Elephas maximus indicus: one gene and its partner. Each later gene encodes a partner of the first gene's protein in a complex. Links are inferred from orthologs where the notes say so. Each region holds a gene or a part of one and is shown on either strand. Other genes may lie near its edges.

Region 1 (7,353 bases):
AATTACATACTATCCAACAGACATCACTTAGGTTTAAAATACTGGGAGTTAAATCTAACACTGCTATTTACATAGTTACAAAGTTCTTGTGCAAAAGTCTACAACTTGATTATGTATCACCTCCTCAGGCCTGCCTCTTCACTCCACCCCCATAACTGGAATACACTCATATCTACTGTTTGGTCTTCTCACATCTACAATGTACTCAGGGAGTCTCCATGCCTTCATCTTCTCAATTTTGAAAATGTTGATAGTTACTGCTGAGTCGATTCCAATTCTGACTTACACTCATGCTAAAATAAACTTCAGTACTTGTTCTTCTATTCACTTCTCAACCCTCCCTCAAACCTCTTCATGATTCCTTAGTACCACGTAAACTCTGACTTCGGGAGTCTCTGCCAGGTCGTTCTTGTGAGAGGTGGGAGGGGCTTGCCCCAGGTGCATGCAGTAAAGGGATGCACTGCCTGTAGAGAATTAAAAACAATAATAAAACCAGATGAAAGTCTGTCTGCTTTTTATTATCATCATGTGCTAGAAATTCTAAACAACCTCAGTGCTAAGACATTCCTTGGACCACAGACAGCTCCCATGATTGCCCCTCAGAATGCCACGGGTAATGGCCAACCTCCTCCTCCAAGTCAAATCTTTTATGCAATAGTTCTTCCTTTCCTTAGGCTCTCAAACCAAATAAAACTAACAACAACAAAGGCTAAAAGTTACCAGTGTATTTTCCATATTATTTGCAATTGTGAGGTATATCATATTGCTTTAACAGAAAACTTCATATATAATTTAACCTGATGCCTCACCCTAAGCAAAACTGAGTCAAGGCCATATATAACATAGTAGAGTCCATTTATGTAATCTGATCAATTATGATTTAGTATTAAAACCATTTTAAAAATCAATAATCTGAACAAGTATTTCAAAGCCATAATTGCAAGCCTACCAAAAAAAAAAAAAAAAAAAACCCATTGCCATGGAGTCAATTCCAACTCATAGCAACCCTATAGGACAGCAGAGCTGCCACACAGTTTCCAGGGAGTGCCTGATAGATTTGAACTGCCAGCCTTTTGGTTAGCCATAGCCACTATGCCACCAGGGTTTCTACTGCAAGCCTAGAAGCTGGGAAATTTGCCAAGATTTATGGGATTAAACTCAGCTGAATGGACAGGGCCCTACTAATAGGACTGCAGTCCTATATGGCTGCTCTGATGCCCTGATGAGTCACTCTGAGGCACAGGTCCTCTTGGTCACTATGAAAGAAAATGCTTAAACACAGCAGAGGAAGGAGGACAGAAAAGTGATCCTAAGAGAGGGGCTGATTCCGCCTCAGTCAACCCTGCTGACAGCCATGCTCTGCTTCACTGGCAATGTAGCAGCTGAATGGTAGGTCAGCAGAAATCAGCACAGTACTCTATTTGGTACCTCCCTGTGCAGAAGCTGTACCCCTCAGCTGTAACAAATTCTCCTAATTCTATCAATGACAGGGAATGACTTTCTAACTAGGGTATACAGAAAACTGAGAATGGACTACATAAAAAAAAAATTGATAACCAGAAAATGTGGAACCAAAAGAATCAATACACCAAATTACGTTATTACCAACTGATGATTAAAGAAAATAAAATGCCTACGTTGTGTATACGAAGAAAGAGTCTTCATTACTGCTGTTTTAATAGTTCTTCCAATGCACTGATACATATTTCACCGTATAACTAGGAGTTTGCCAAACCCTAATAAAAAATGCAATTACTAGTTAAGCTGTAAAATACAACTAAACCCAGAAGAATGACAACACACAGAATTTATCTAGCATGAAAGCTAAGACATTTACTCTACCATTAAAACAAAGAACAAAAACTCCAAAGATTATGCAGAACGCAGGGCAATCAAATTTCAACCATACCTTTCAGACATATAACTGAAGGCAGGCACTCTTACGTCTCAACGAGCACTTCCTCCAACCATGAATTACAGTCTTTGTTTCCCAAAACACTGAGGTAAAAGAGGAAAAATATATCTTTTAAACCACAACTGTATGGAAAAATAAGAACAGGTCTTATCAGATAAATAGTCTTGTCTACTCCAAAGAAATAAATTTAGACATATACAGAACCCAGCACGCAGTTAATAACTTTAGAGATTGGTGTCATCATTTCATTCTCGAACTTGAAAAGTTATTCAATATGCTCATCCACGTTTTAAATCATTGTTTATGTTTATGCTTCACTTTTGCAAATATCAGCTGTGCCCTTAAACATAAGAAAATTATAAGTCCTCTTACTCAGCACAGCCCTTCAAGGCCATCAAGAGTTAATGAGCTAGCAAGACACTGAGGTGACAATGAATATCAAATGTTCTAGTTTACTTGAATGAATTCAAGTCAGGCCACCCATATCAGATCTAAAAGTCATCAATAGAGCAATTTCAAAAAAAAAAAAAAATTCTAACACTTTAAAGATCAAACACCTGAAGCATAACAATTGTTAAATATCACTCTCTGCCACTGACAGTATTAGGATTCTTCTCAGCTACTTTACACACACCAAAACCAAACCCACTGCCTTCGAGTCTATTCCGACTCACAGTGACCCTATAGGACAGAGTAGAACTGCCCCAGAGGGTTCCCAAGGGGCGCTGGTGGATTTGAACTGACCTTTTGGTTAGCAGCCAATCTCTTAACCACTGTGCCACCAGTTCATGGCAAAAATCTAACTCATTGACCACCTACTTACATAATGTAGATTAGGAAGACTATATTAACTGCTGCATATAAAACATAAACACAATGTAGACAATAACTAAAACTGATAATAATTACCTTCCAGTAAAGATCAAAACAAGCCTGCACTCTACACACTGGCCTTTAAGAAAAACTAAATGTACTATTGTGTATATAACCACAGATTTCACTATTTTTTTTTAAGTACTTCCAAAGTAGTACTTTTTAGAAATCAAAAATTCTTAGAAATTGTTAATAATCTGCTGCACCCTAATCTAAAATTGTCCTTCCTGGTTAAGCTTAAAAACTAAACCCAATAGGATAACTTTTAGAAAAAATGTGTTAGAAAGTTGGGCAGGTAAAGCAGGAGCGAGCCGTAAGCGCCAACGTTGACAGCAGTGGCTTCCCACCTGATAATGACTGTGGTTTTCAATGCATCCAGGAGTCCATCCCCTGACAAAGGAAGTAAGTCAGCCTAAACTCTGCAGAGTAAAGTCCAAAAGGAAAAGTTCGGTTGGCTTGTCTGTATGACGAGAACTTTAAGATACTATTAATTTGACAAAGAAAAGCACATAATTTCGGGCTGGGTGAGGAAGACTTTACGTTTTCCCTGAAAGAGTAAAATACTTTCCTGGAATTCACAAAAACACATTTGAAAAAACCAGCATTAACTGAAGTCAAGCAATCCGAGCTCAGCATCCAGTCGGTGGCTCATCATCTCTCTCACCCGTTAGGTCGAGACGCCCTTCTCAGCTGCGCCCCTCGCAGAGGGACAGACCGGCTCCATCTACCCTCTCCGTGGAAGCCCATCTCTGCCATCTCGGGCCACCCTCGCAGGCGCTCCGCCGGGACCCGGGACACTCCCCCTGCGCGGGGCTGCAGAGCGGCTGCCCTCCGAGAGGCACCTCTGCCCAGGGTCGTCCGCAACCCCCAGCCCCGGACCCTCCGGCCCCAGGTCCCCGGCACCTCCCTCCGCAGCCCCTCACGGCTGCCCTCAGGGGTCGCCTCCCCTTGGCCGGCCCCCGCTCCAGGCTCCCGCTCCCTGCCTCGGGACCCCAGCTCGCAGGGCGCCCAGGCTCTGCCGTCCCTACCCGTTCTCCCCGTCCCGCGGCGCCGAGCGACAGCGGGGCCAGCAGGCATCCACAGAGGAGACAAGCGTGTGGGACCTCCCAGCTCCGAACTCACCTCCACTCCCGGCTCTCGGATCTTGGCCCGGAGCCCGGCTTCCGCCTCGCACCGGAAGGCGTTCACCGCGCGACCGGAAGTCCCGCCCCGCCTGCTCCCCGCCCGCTCGCCTGCCGGGTTCCCGCAGGGAGCACCTGGAGGAGCTGAGAGGTGCAGGGGTGCTCGGCAGGTGTCGGGCCGGAGTCTCCTTTCTCCCGCGTTCGTTCTCTTTTTCAGTCAGCAACTCTGCAAACGCTTGACCGCTCGCCTGCCGGGTTCCCGCAGGGAGCACCTGGAGGAGCTGAGAGGTGCAGGGGTGCTCGGCAGGTGTCGGGCCGGAGTCTCCTTTCTCCCGCGTTCGTTCTCTTTTTCAGTCAGCAACTCTGCAAACGCTTGACCAAGCGCCTGCCTATTCCGCTCAAGCCCTGCGAGGAACACTCAGACACTGACTCCTGCCCTCGCTGGTAGAAAATTGACAAATAAAAACAAAGGTTAACCACACTAAGCGGTGGTATTTCTTCCTTCATTCATTAATTGAACAAACTTGTATTACCTACTACGTATCACTCATTCCACAGCAGTAACAGACGGAAGCGTAAACTCAGGACAATGAACTGAGCATAGAATAAATCAGAGAGCGACCGGTCCCTCGGAAGCTTAGTGTAGTGTAGGGACACAGATATGTGAGCAAACGAGTGCAATAACGATCAGGTGCACAGGACTACGGCAGTGCTATGGGCCAAAAGTAGGCAATGGCGGAGTGCAGGGAGCTAGGCGGAAAAGGCTTTCTAGAGATGTTGACTCTCCCGTTGTCGTGGAAATAAATGATAATAAAGCTAGGTGGTGGACAAGATCCTGAAGGGCATGCTGAGCAGATGCCAGGGAATGAGTTTGATTTGTTCAGGGGTACAGTTAATTTATCAAGGCCTGAGATCATGGCGGTAACGCCAGATTATGAACACTATTGTACATTACGCTGAGAAATTTGGACTTCAGCCTGCATGTAACTGGAAATCAGTGAGGTCTTCTAGGGGAACTAACAAAAAGTGAGTCATGAGGTTGCCTAGGATGATTGACCTGGTCATCAAAGAAAAATAAGAACTTGAAAGATCACGATAGAACATTTTGCCCTCAAAGGTGCTTTCTCAAACTGCCATACGCCATTATAAAGACGGTGGATGACTACCAAATCAAACCTGTTGCTGTCAGGTCGACTGCAACTCATAGTGACCCTAAACCAAAACCAAACGCATTGCCATGGAGTTGATTCCGACTCATGATGACCTTACAAGATAGAGTAGAACTGTCCCATAAGGTTTCCAAGGAGCGGCTGGTGGATTCAAACTGTCGGCCTTTTGGTTAGCAGCTGAGCTTTTACCACTGCGCCAGCAGAGCTCATACCTCTCGGCTTGCCCCAGGGTGACCAACTGTCCTGGTTTGCCAAGGACTGAGAGAAATCTCATGACGCTGGACTTCCATTGCTTAAACTGGGACAGTCTGGGGAAACCAGGACAAATTGGTCACCCTATCATGTCCTCTAACAGGTTAGTCCAAAAATGGGGACATCCTACACTGGGCCATTTAGATTCTTTCTCCCAGGAACACTAAATGTGAAACAGGGAAACAGAGAAAGACAGCCATTAGAGCTGAGACGTACAAATAGGAGGGCCCTCAAGAGAAGATCTATAAATACCTTTGCCAAGGACCCTGGTCTTGCCCTGTGTCCTTTGATTACACGAGATATCTCTATATACTTCCAATACACTTTTTGCTTAACTAGCCAAAGTAGGCATCTACTGCTTGCAACCAAAATAATCTTAAAGAGCATACCCATAATATCCACTTATTAAAGGTAATCTGCATCCAGAGCCCCTACTGAGTAGTCAAAGTTGAATGACCATTGCCACAGCGCTGCACCATGTTCTAGGGTGGACCAGATGTGCACTCTTAGTCCATATAGGGCTAAGAGAGTCTCATGCATGGATTTTGGAGTTTGCATACAAAACTCCACTTGGTCTCTCCTGCATGCTTAGAAATGTCATGTAAACTTAGGATTGACTTAGACATGAGCAAGATGTCTAAAGCTGGTGGAGAAAAAAAGGAGAGGAACAAGAGGAAGGAAGAGGAAGTAGGAATGAGAAGGAGAAAAGAGAAGAAAATTTTCTCCGAGGTGGTAGTCCTAGTTCCCATTTTTGCATTTTTAATCCCCAATTTCTTGTAAGGCCCAGCTAAACTTCCTCCATCTTTAAACTCTTTGAAAATTGTATGTCTTTCCAGTAAATTTCCCATTTTTCTTAGGTTAATTTTAGTAGGTTTCTGTTCCTGGCAATCAAAACACCAAGGCATCAACTCCCCAAGACACAGCATTGCCTGCCCACTTGATAGCACCTATCTTTTCTCACCAGAGTTCTCAGCCAACTTCTCCCCCCGCCCCCCAGGTCAATGACAAAAGGAGAATTTGCACACCTCCACTGCTCCTGGCCCCTTCAGGAAAACTGTCACAATAGCTGTGGAGTTTGATAACTTTAGTGTTAAAATCACATGGATGGGGAGAATCATATGCCCACAGAATACAAAGTTGGAAGGAGGCTTTGGAAACCATGTATTCCAAATTTTTCATTAGCCAGAGCTAAAGAGAGTTGAAGTCCAGCTAGGCATAGTGGTTTTTCTAAGGCCAAACAGCTCAATAGTGTTACCTAACCTGGAAAGGTGGGTCCTTGTCCAGCACGCTCAGACTTGCCAATTATCTGGACACCGCTCTTTGAGAAAGAGAAGGTAACTTTATTGCAGTGCACACAGCAAGGAGCCAGGAGGAAGTTCCTCAGGTGCAGCTCCTCCAGCTATGGGTAGACAGGGCTTATATACGAGGGCCGCAAGATGGTGGTCGCACAGGTGTTCTGGGGAGGGAAAACTCTAGAAGGCTGCCAGGAAACAGGAGGTGACATGGTTCCTGTTGGACCTCTAGCTTCGAGATAGGGTCGGGGTGATGATTTTTCCTTCTGATTCTTTCCTCCTGTTGCTGCGTCCTCTGTTGAGGTCCATTAGCGATCACATCTGGCCCTTCTGCACATGTGGGGCGAGCCAAATATGATTTGGGCTAGTTTAATGACCAATGGAAATTTACTGGCATGTGTAGGGTCAGGTTACAGTACTTTCAGAAACAAGACTAGTTCAAGATCTCCTCTCTACTAGTTCACTGCTCTGCCTGCTTCCTTTGGGGTAGGATGCCACTCTGCTCTGTTGATCAGATATGTTACTGTGAGCCAGGAGAGAAGATTTTAAGGAAAAATTTCCTTTTTTTTTTTGGTACTCACCAACTGGCTCAGACAGATGGGTAATTAACAGAGCTGATAAGGTGATCACGAGTTGGAATAGACTCCATGGCAACTGGTTTGGTTTTTTTCTGGTTAATAAGGTTAGTTGTTTACAAAGTTTATTTGCACATTCTACATTCTTTTTTGTTC
Region 2 (7,353 bases), on another chromosome or scaffold:
TGTCCCGGAGCCCAGCTCCCTCGTCGGCAGCTGACATCCCGGCAGAATTCTGGCCGGCCCCAGGGCCGGGCGGGCCTCGGCTGGCGGCTGCAGGACGCTCCTGGCTCCAGCCCGCTAGCTTGTCGGAGGCAAAGGCCGTGCAGCCAGGACCGGTTGTTCATTCACTGGGTCATGTGCCGCGAATCAGCCCGATTCTGTGCAGTCACCGTGAAGCCCAGCGGGGCCGCCTCGGCGCGGGCTTTGTGTCCGCAGAGGCAAAGTTGTTCCACACGCCTCAGCTCCCCGCCACACTCCCTAATCTCTACACAAACGAGCGCGCCGAGGAGGCGCTCGGCAGTATCAGTCGCTACGAGCAGCCGGGCGGGCTTCCCCCGGTGCCTAGGCGTGGGAGGGGCCTCCACCTCAAAAAGACATCCAGCTCGGCAACACCGCCTCTCTGTACCCCTCCAGCGCACAGAGAACCCCCATCCATGAAAAAGGAAACCCCCCCCAAGCTCACACATTGGCTCCTTTGCCTTGCCCGGCGGCTGCAGAGCAGGCAGGAAATGCAAGTAACGCGTCCTTTCAGGCTAAGCCCCCGACTTCAGCCTCCAGACCCGCCCCCGGTGGGCCTCCTACCCCTCGCAGCGCCCCTTCCCACCCGCGCCCCGCGAGCCGGCACCCGGGGCCTGCGCTGGGAGAGTGGTCTGTCTGCGTTCCCCTCTCTCGGGTTAATATTAACCAGGAGCTCATGCGTTCCAGAACTGCTCTGAAAGTTCCACTGGGGAAGATCTCGCCATGGTTGAGGGACTTGGGCAACGGTCACCTAGAGAGACCTAGAGACACACCCAGAGACAAGGAGAGAGACTAGACGGAGGAGGAGACCCTCAAGACGCACACCTGAGAGCAGAGTCCAGGCGTTTCTGTAAAAGTGAGGAGCCCAGCAGGCAAGCAAGTTCCCCGAGAAGCTCCAGACCTTCGCGCGGCCTGAGAGGCACTTTCCTGCCTCTGAAGCCCACACGTTCCCTGCCCTTACAAGACCCAAGACGTCTGCCTCTCTCACCCCATTCCTGTCCCCGCCCCCCTTTAACTCCTAGAATCTGCAGAAGAGGGAAATGCCAGAGGAGGGACAACCAGGGGGCACATTCCAGCCGCCACCCCCAACCATCCACGTTTTTAGGGTACCTGGGGGGGGTCAGTGCTGTAACCCTGGCCTGGCTCTCCCCCCCACCCCACCCCACCCCACCCCACCCCACCCCACCCCCACTTTGGCCACCCTTCCCCCCTCCTTTTGTGTTAGGAACGGGAATGGCCACTGCTGAAGGAAAAAAAAGTATTTGTTTTCGTTTCGTTCGTCTGAGGGAAGTTGACAGAAGGTCAGAAGTTCAAATGCTGCTAGCGAATGCGGCGGCGCGAGAGGCGCGGCGTGGGGCGGGCGCGGCCCCGTGTTCCCGGGCAGGGCGGGCGGGAGGCGCGGAGCGGGATGGAGGGCTCCTTGCGGCGCCCAGGGGGCTCGGAGACCCGGGAGGCCCGGCCGCGCCGTCACCACACCCCTGCCTCCTCCCCGCACGCGCCCCACCCCCGCCGCCGCCGCCGGGTTAATGAGGGTGATTAGCGCCCCATTAGGATGAGCCCCACGCTCGCGGTTCTGGAGCTGATTCCTGCGTGTGCGCGTGCAGGGCAGGGACTGCGCGGCGGCGGCGGCGGCGACGGCCCGAGCCCAGCTCCGCCGCACAAACTGAAACCCTAGCCTCTGAGATCGATAACCGAGGAGTAAGTGGAGCTGAAAATGCGTCTGACTTGGGGCTCGGCTTCTTGGGCCTACAGCTTCCCAGAAGGGCGCTGAGGACCCAGAGCTCGGAGCAGGGGGCGCGGGACTCGGTGGGGGTCCCTTGCACCCACAAAGGCAGATGCTGACCGGCCCGACTCGGGACCCTCCGGTGTCTCCGCCCCGCCGCTTCTCTCTTCTCCCCTCCCCTGAGTGCGGAAAGACCCCCGGGAAGGCTCCTCGCGGGGGGCGAAGGGGACCAGGGGGCGGCGAGGCCCGGAGAGCCAGAGAACTTCCTCCAGCCGGCCGCACGCCCCCGGCCCCCTTGGGGCCACGCAGAGTTAATCGTGGCTTCTGTGGGGCACAAGCGCGCGGCCACACTCTTGGGCCCGATTTAAGGTGGTCGGGAGCAGATGAGGGAGACCGAGGAAAGAGAATCCTCTCCTCCACTCCCACTTCGCCCCCACCGGGCAGCTAGAGCTGGTTCCCCAGCTGGCCCTTCCCTTTCTCCGCACCCGCAACAAGCCCAGGAATGGGGTTGGAAGCAGAAGAGCTACGAGGTAGCTCCTCTCTGCCTCCCCCCGCCTCTCCTCCCCCCCCTCCCGCCACACTTGCGCCCCGCCAGCGCCGCTCCGTCAGCCTGTGCGCTTCTAGCCCTAAAGGTAGGATTTGAATATTTTAATAGGGCAATAAAAATGATGCTGACCTATATTTGCGAGGAAACCCATTTCTAGCTTCAGTTACATATGCATGGAGTTTCAGAAAGTCTGGAATTGGCAGGTAGCTTTTTAGCCCAGATGTCTCAAAGGAGATGGGCGAGGGGAAAGGATTAATATTTTGCTTTGGTTTTCCTTTCCACCCCTTTCCCATTAATATTTATTCCCTCGTAATTTCTATGCAAGCTGATTGAAAACTGAAGTGATGCAATGCCAGTAAGTTCCAAGTCCCTCCCCTAAGGTACCTCGGGCTTAGGAGAATGAAAGAGCATCCTTAAAGAAATATCAATATATTCACACTCCGATGGGCACAATCACACTCGATGGAATCGCAAGGCAAGCTATGTGACACAGTCATGGACAGCTAGAGCCGCCTCCGAAGCCACTGCCTTTTGTCAGAACCGCCTTCCTGGCTTTTCCAATGGAAGATTCTTTGGTGGGGGGTGGTCGGGTGGGGGTAGTCATGGGAAGAAAAAACACAGAAGAGAGGGGGAAAGTATGAGCTTGGAGATCTAACGCTTCGAGCCTACATTTGTAGCAGTGACCTGAGGCCACTTTATGTTTATGGGGGGGATTCCCACCCCCCCTCTGCATCTCCACTCCTGACTCTCCAGTAAAGCCACAGACTTGGAAAAGGCAGACGCCCGGAAAGTGAAGGTCTCTCCAAGTTACAAGCCAGAGCACAGCCAGGGTGGGGAGAGCCATCCTAGTAAGACAGAGATGAAATCAGGGCCATAAATGGGATCACATACCCAGCCATTCTCACCCCCGCCCATACCCTAAACTTCTGGACCCATAACCTCCATTCCTCCAGGAAGAGGAAGGGGTGGCAGGTAGGTAGGAGGGTGGGGAAGGACAGAGTGAAATCGCCTTTAAATCTGCTTAAAAAGCAAAGAAACCAAGTCTAGAACGGCTTCGTTCCACGTAGCTCGCTTTAAAGGAACACATTCCACGCCCCAGAGCTGGGTTTCTACCTGAGTCATCAGCCGGTCCGCTCCGGTGTTTTCTTCATCCTTAAATATGATGTCAGGGTTGTAATTGGGGGTGAGTTCCTTAAATCGCTCGGAGTTTCTCGAGATCTTCCCTTCGTATCTTCCACTGGCCCCTAGGGTCTTCTCGGCCACATTGGGGATAAACTGTTTGTAGGCTAAAGGGGTCAGCTTTTTGGGGTGTCTCCTCTTCCCAAATCCCCTGCCGGGTCCGCACGCCAGCCCTGAGCACATCAAGAGCGTGGAGACCAGGACCACCACCAGACATCTCGCCAGAAGCAGCATCTCGTCCATGGAGCCCAATTACTTCCAAGCTCTCCCGTGTGTGTCTGTGTGTGTGAGCGTGTGTGTGTGCGCGCGTGTGCGTGTTCGCTCTCTCTTGCGCTCTCCCTTTCTCGCTCCGGCTCGCTTGCTGCCTTGCTCTCTCCCTCGCTCTCTTTCTCTTCCTATATAACCTTGCCCGCCGCCGCTGCGTGGGACTCTCCACCGATCCCCAGCCAGACAGGTGCTGGAATGGCAGGCTGCCGGTCTCTGATAACGGAACACATCGGAGATGGGTCGCGAGACAGCAATCAAAAGACAAAAAGAGTCTGATTTTAAATGGTAGCAAGCCTAGAGACGCTTGTGAGAGAGGCTGCCTTTAGTACTATATTATAGCTGGCAGGGGCGTATCTGATTGGCCAAGGCAACACAAGCTTGTCTTCTGATGTTTAACCCTCAAAAAGGCTACAATTTTTTTTTCTGTTGCTGCTGCTGCTTTATTTTCACCTGAAGGCTTCGAGTAAAAAAAAAAAAAATCTTTACTAAAACAAAGGTGGGAGGGAGGGCGAGGCACATTTCTCAGGATAACATCAATTATACCCTGCTTTGTGTGTATCCGTGTTTCCCCCTTTACTTTCTTGGGAATGGTAGGTGCTTCAGTTAAAACCAACTTAAGTTTTTAAAGGACAGCACAGACCCCCCAAAGCTTTGATCATCAAACAAATATCTCCTCAAATGTTTCAGGGGCAAAGCTTGCCAGGTCTTATTTAAAATTGTTAGGGATTTTAGCATTCAGGCCAGGTCTCCCATCTGAGCCTCCTCTGCCTGAATGCTCAGCATCTTTGGAAGAAGGATAATTATGAGTGACCACAACTTAGTAATGTGAGTTGAAGTGCTTCACATGCCTTAGAAAAACTTTAAAATACTGCCACTTTATTGTTTGTATCAATGCATGGTTTCTGAAACCTCTGAAGATAGGATGGAGGTGTGTTAAGGGTAGGTACAGAGTGAGCTGATGGACTGTCAAGGTCCAGGGGCAAAGTGGGTCTCAGGTGCTGGACACCCCCAGCTCTGGGAAGGGAGCCTGTGCTTGTGTGTGCTGTGGGCGGAGGCTCATTGTGCCTGGAGGGCAGCAGTGAGTGGGCAAGGCTTTGCAAACACCACCCCCACAGATCAATAGGAGCAAAGTGCAGGGCCAAGGGATGAGTGAAGTGTAAAGTTAAGGCTCCTTGCTATGGCGTCTGGTGCTGGCGCTAAATGGAGCTGGCCACATCATGGGCTCTGCAGCCTGGAGGGGTGCAGGTGGCTGGAGCAGCTCCGGCTCTGGTCAAATAGGGGTGTCCTAGTGTCCAGAGAACAGCAATATGAGACCCCCAATCCCTGCAGTCCTTCCAGAAAACACACACTCACACACCCACAACTTTCTAACTAAACTAGAAAAATAAAACCTGACACTCCCTCTTTTTGCAGAACATACCCCCATCTCAACCTCCCCCCATTCCACGCATAAGCAAGAATACCTCTGGAGTGGGGCAAGGGAGTGTTATTCATGTGGACTAGAAATACTGACCCTGACAAATAATCAGATACTGTGAGTGTTGGCCTCTGCAGTTCAGTATTCTGCCTTGACCCCAAACCACGCAGTGGTGTGAGAACGGTCTGAAGGTTCACCCAGCAAAACAATGGGAAGTTGCTAGCAGTCCATCAATGTTCCTATGCCCAAATCTTTTTTTTTTTTTTTGAGGGGGTCATCTTAAGCGACATCTAGCTGCACTCCACCCATTCGTGCTCCTCTACAAAGGTTGACAAGTCCCTCCCCCCTCCCCCCTCGCATCTCTCTCTCTTTTCTATTCTGTGATTTTTGAAGAACCAAAATACCGAGCCTAAGAAGAGCGCTGACCTCTGGGCAAGGTGGGAAGGCAGCACCCAGTTCTATCCAGAAAGACTCAGGCAGGAACGAAGAGTTCTCCAATTAGCCGGAGACAATTCAACTCTGTTGATAAACCCGGGGCTTAATTTATTGTCCAGGGTGTGTGTGTGTGTGTGTGTGTGTGTGTGTGTGTGCGCGCCTCTCTCTGTATATTGTGTGCTCCCAGGAAAAAACTGATACAAAAAAAGATATAACGCTGTATACCAAAGAAGGTAGGCTTGTTTGATGTGGTTACCTCGGGTAGCACGTGTTGATGTAATATCACTAAATAGTGCCGCGGTTTAAGAAGCGATCCCGACAGTGTGGGATACTTGCAAACCTTTTCATCACCCTCCCCCGCCTTGGCACCTCCTTCGGCCCCAGTGCCTTTCCTTTCCCTTCTCTTTTTCGCTCTTCGCGCTCTCCCCTAAAGACCTAGGTGCCCGCACAGGGCGGGAGCGCCCGGGCGGCGAAGCTGGGGGTTGAGGCCAGAGACTCTGGGGCTGCGGGCCGCGCGTGTACCCAGCAGCCAGCAGGGCTCCTGCGGCGCAGACACGCTGGGGAGGTGCGCGTCCGGTGCAGGCAGTAAACGCACGTGGAAAAGTCTAACGCCCCCAGCGTGCCGGGTGTGGGACTTGGGTTATGAAAGCCAAAGCCGAGCTGGAGAGTCCAGGCTGCGGGGCGCGGTGGGCGGTGTGACCTGGGGGCCCGGCCGGGCTCTCCCGGATCAGGAAAGAGCCGAGCGTGACTCCGGCGGCGCGGTCCCTCCCTCTTCGCAGAGACCAGGAAGGGGACGCGGCGCGCACTGCGCTCGGGCTCCGGCGGAGGCTCCCCGGGAGGGCCGGCGCCGAGGCCACCTCCCTCCTCGCCATCTCCATCCGGCCCTGGAGACCCCGGAGAGCCTGTCAGCGGCCGCCGTCTCAGGGGCTCGTTTGGATCCTCCCGATTCAAAGAGTGATGGACAAATCGCTGTAAAATCCGCCACTGACGCCTTCTTCCGGAGGGCTTGCTCCCGGCGGCGGGTTGCCCGGGGAGGGGGAATAGGGACAAAAATCACGCGCAGTCCGTGTGCATTGTCTTAGGCACTCAGGGTCTGCATTACTGGGCGCCCGGCCGAGCTTCCCGGGGCCGCGGCGGTCTCCGCGCCTCCCTCCCCCTCCCACTTCCCCTTTCCTTTCATCTCGCCCACTTCCCATTTCCCAGACACCAGACACTCGCTCGTCTTCCACCTCCAGACACCAGATGGCTCCCTCTCTTTGCCTTTCCCCCTCCAGACAGTTCGGCCCCTCCTTCTGCCGGGCAGCGGTTCCAAACCCCAGCCGTCTGCCCGTGCCTGTCGCGGCCAGGCGTCCCGGGTCTCCCGCAGACCCATCTCTGACTGATCCGAGCTCGTCTCCTTCTGGTGGTCCTCCACATCCGCCCGGCCCACTCTCCGTCCTTCTACCGTCCACCTCGCCCTGCACCCGGCCGTGCCGGTGAGGACAGGTGGCTGCCTCTGTCTCAGGCTCCGGCCCCCCAGGAGGCGCCCTTCCTCGGAACCGCACCTTTCCCTCCATTTCGACCCCAGCCGCTAGATGGCCTCCTCACTCTGCCTTCAGTTCTGGAGTGCCGGGTTCTGGTTTGGGTGTGTTTGGGAATCTCGGGCAGAACCAGGTTGGGAGGCCCCGGGAAGCGGGCTAGCCGGTTTCTCCATCCTCCTTTGAACCTGGTTCCAGGTTTAGTGCAGACCCC

Evidence for each region.
Region 2: the proteins of DISP1 (region 1) and SHH are in contact, whole or in part, in a cryo-EM structure (PDB 7E2I), measured with the Homo sapiens proteins. The link is inferred for Elephas maximus indicus from reciprocal best matches to the Homo sapiens genes DISP1 and SHH. Residues at the interface, in NP_001356523.1 of Homo sapiens: Lys242, Thr244, Gly245, Tyr246, Lys247, Ala248, Glu260, His265, Arg299, Phe336, Gly337, Asp338, Leu339, Cys340, Gln341, Arg342, Thr343, Glu459, Arg899, His904, Asp906; in NP_000184.1 of Homo sapiens: Pro49, Asn50, Val51, Thr55, Leu56, Gly57, Ala58, Arg68, Glu71, Phe73, Lys74, Leu76, Thr77, Pro78, Tyr80, Pro82, Arg96, Leu97, Gln100, Lys186.

Annotation. Positions count from the first base shown.
Region 1 is NC_064842.1:12,481,045-12,488,397, reverse strand, and holds the start of DISP1 (protein dispatched homolog 1), read right to left. Parts: upstream 3,959-7,353; 5' UTR 3,911-3,958; exon of another isoform or gene 3,817-3,910; intron 3,778-3,816; exon of another isoform or gene 3,136-3,777; intron 1,999-3,135; exon of another isoform or gene 1,910-1,998; intron 1-1,909. UniProt on the Homo sapiens protein: Functions in hedgehog (Hh) signaling. Regulates the release and extracellular accumulation of cholesterol-modified hedgehog proteins and is hence required for effective production of the Hh signal. Synergizes with SCUBE2 to cause an increase in SHH secretion.
Region 2 is NC_064838.1:5,083,180-5,090,532, reverse strand, and holds the start of SHH (sonic hedgehog protein), read right to left. Parts: upstream 4,036-7,353; 5' UTR 3,747-4,035; coding exon 3,438-3,746; intron 1-3,437.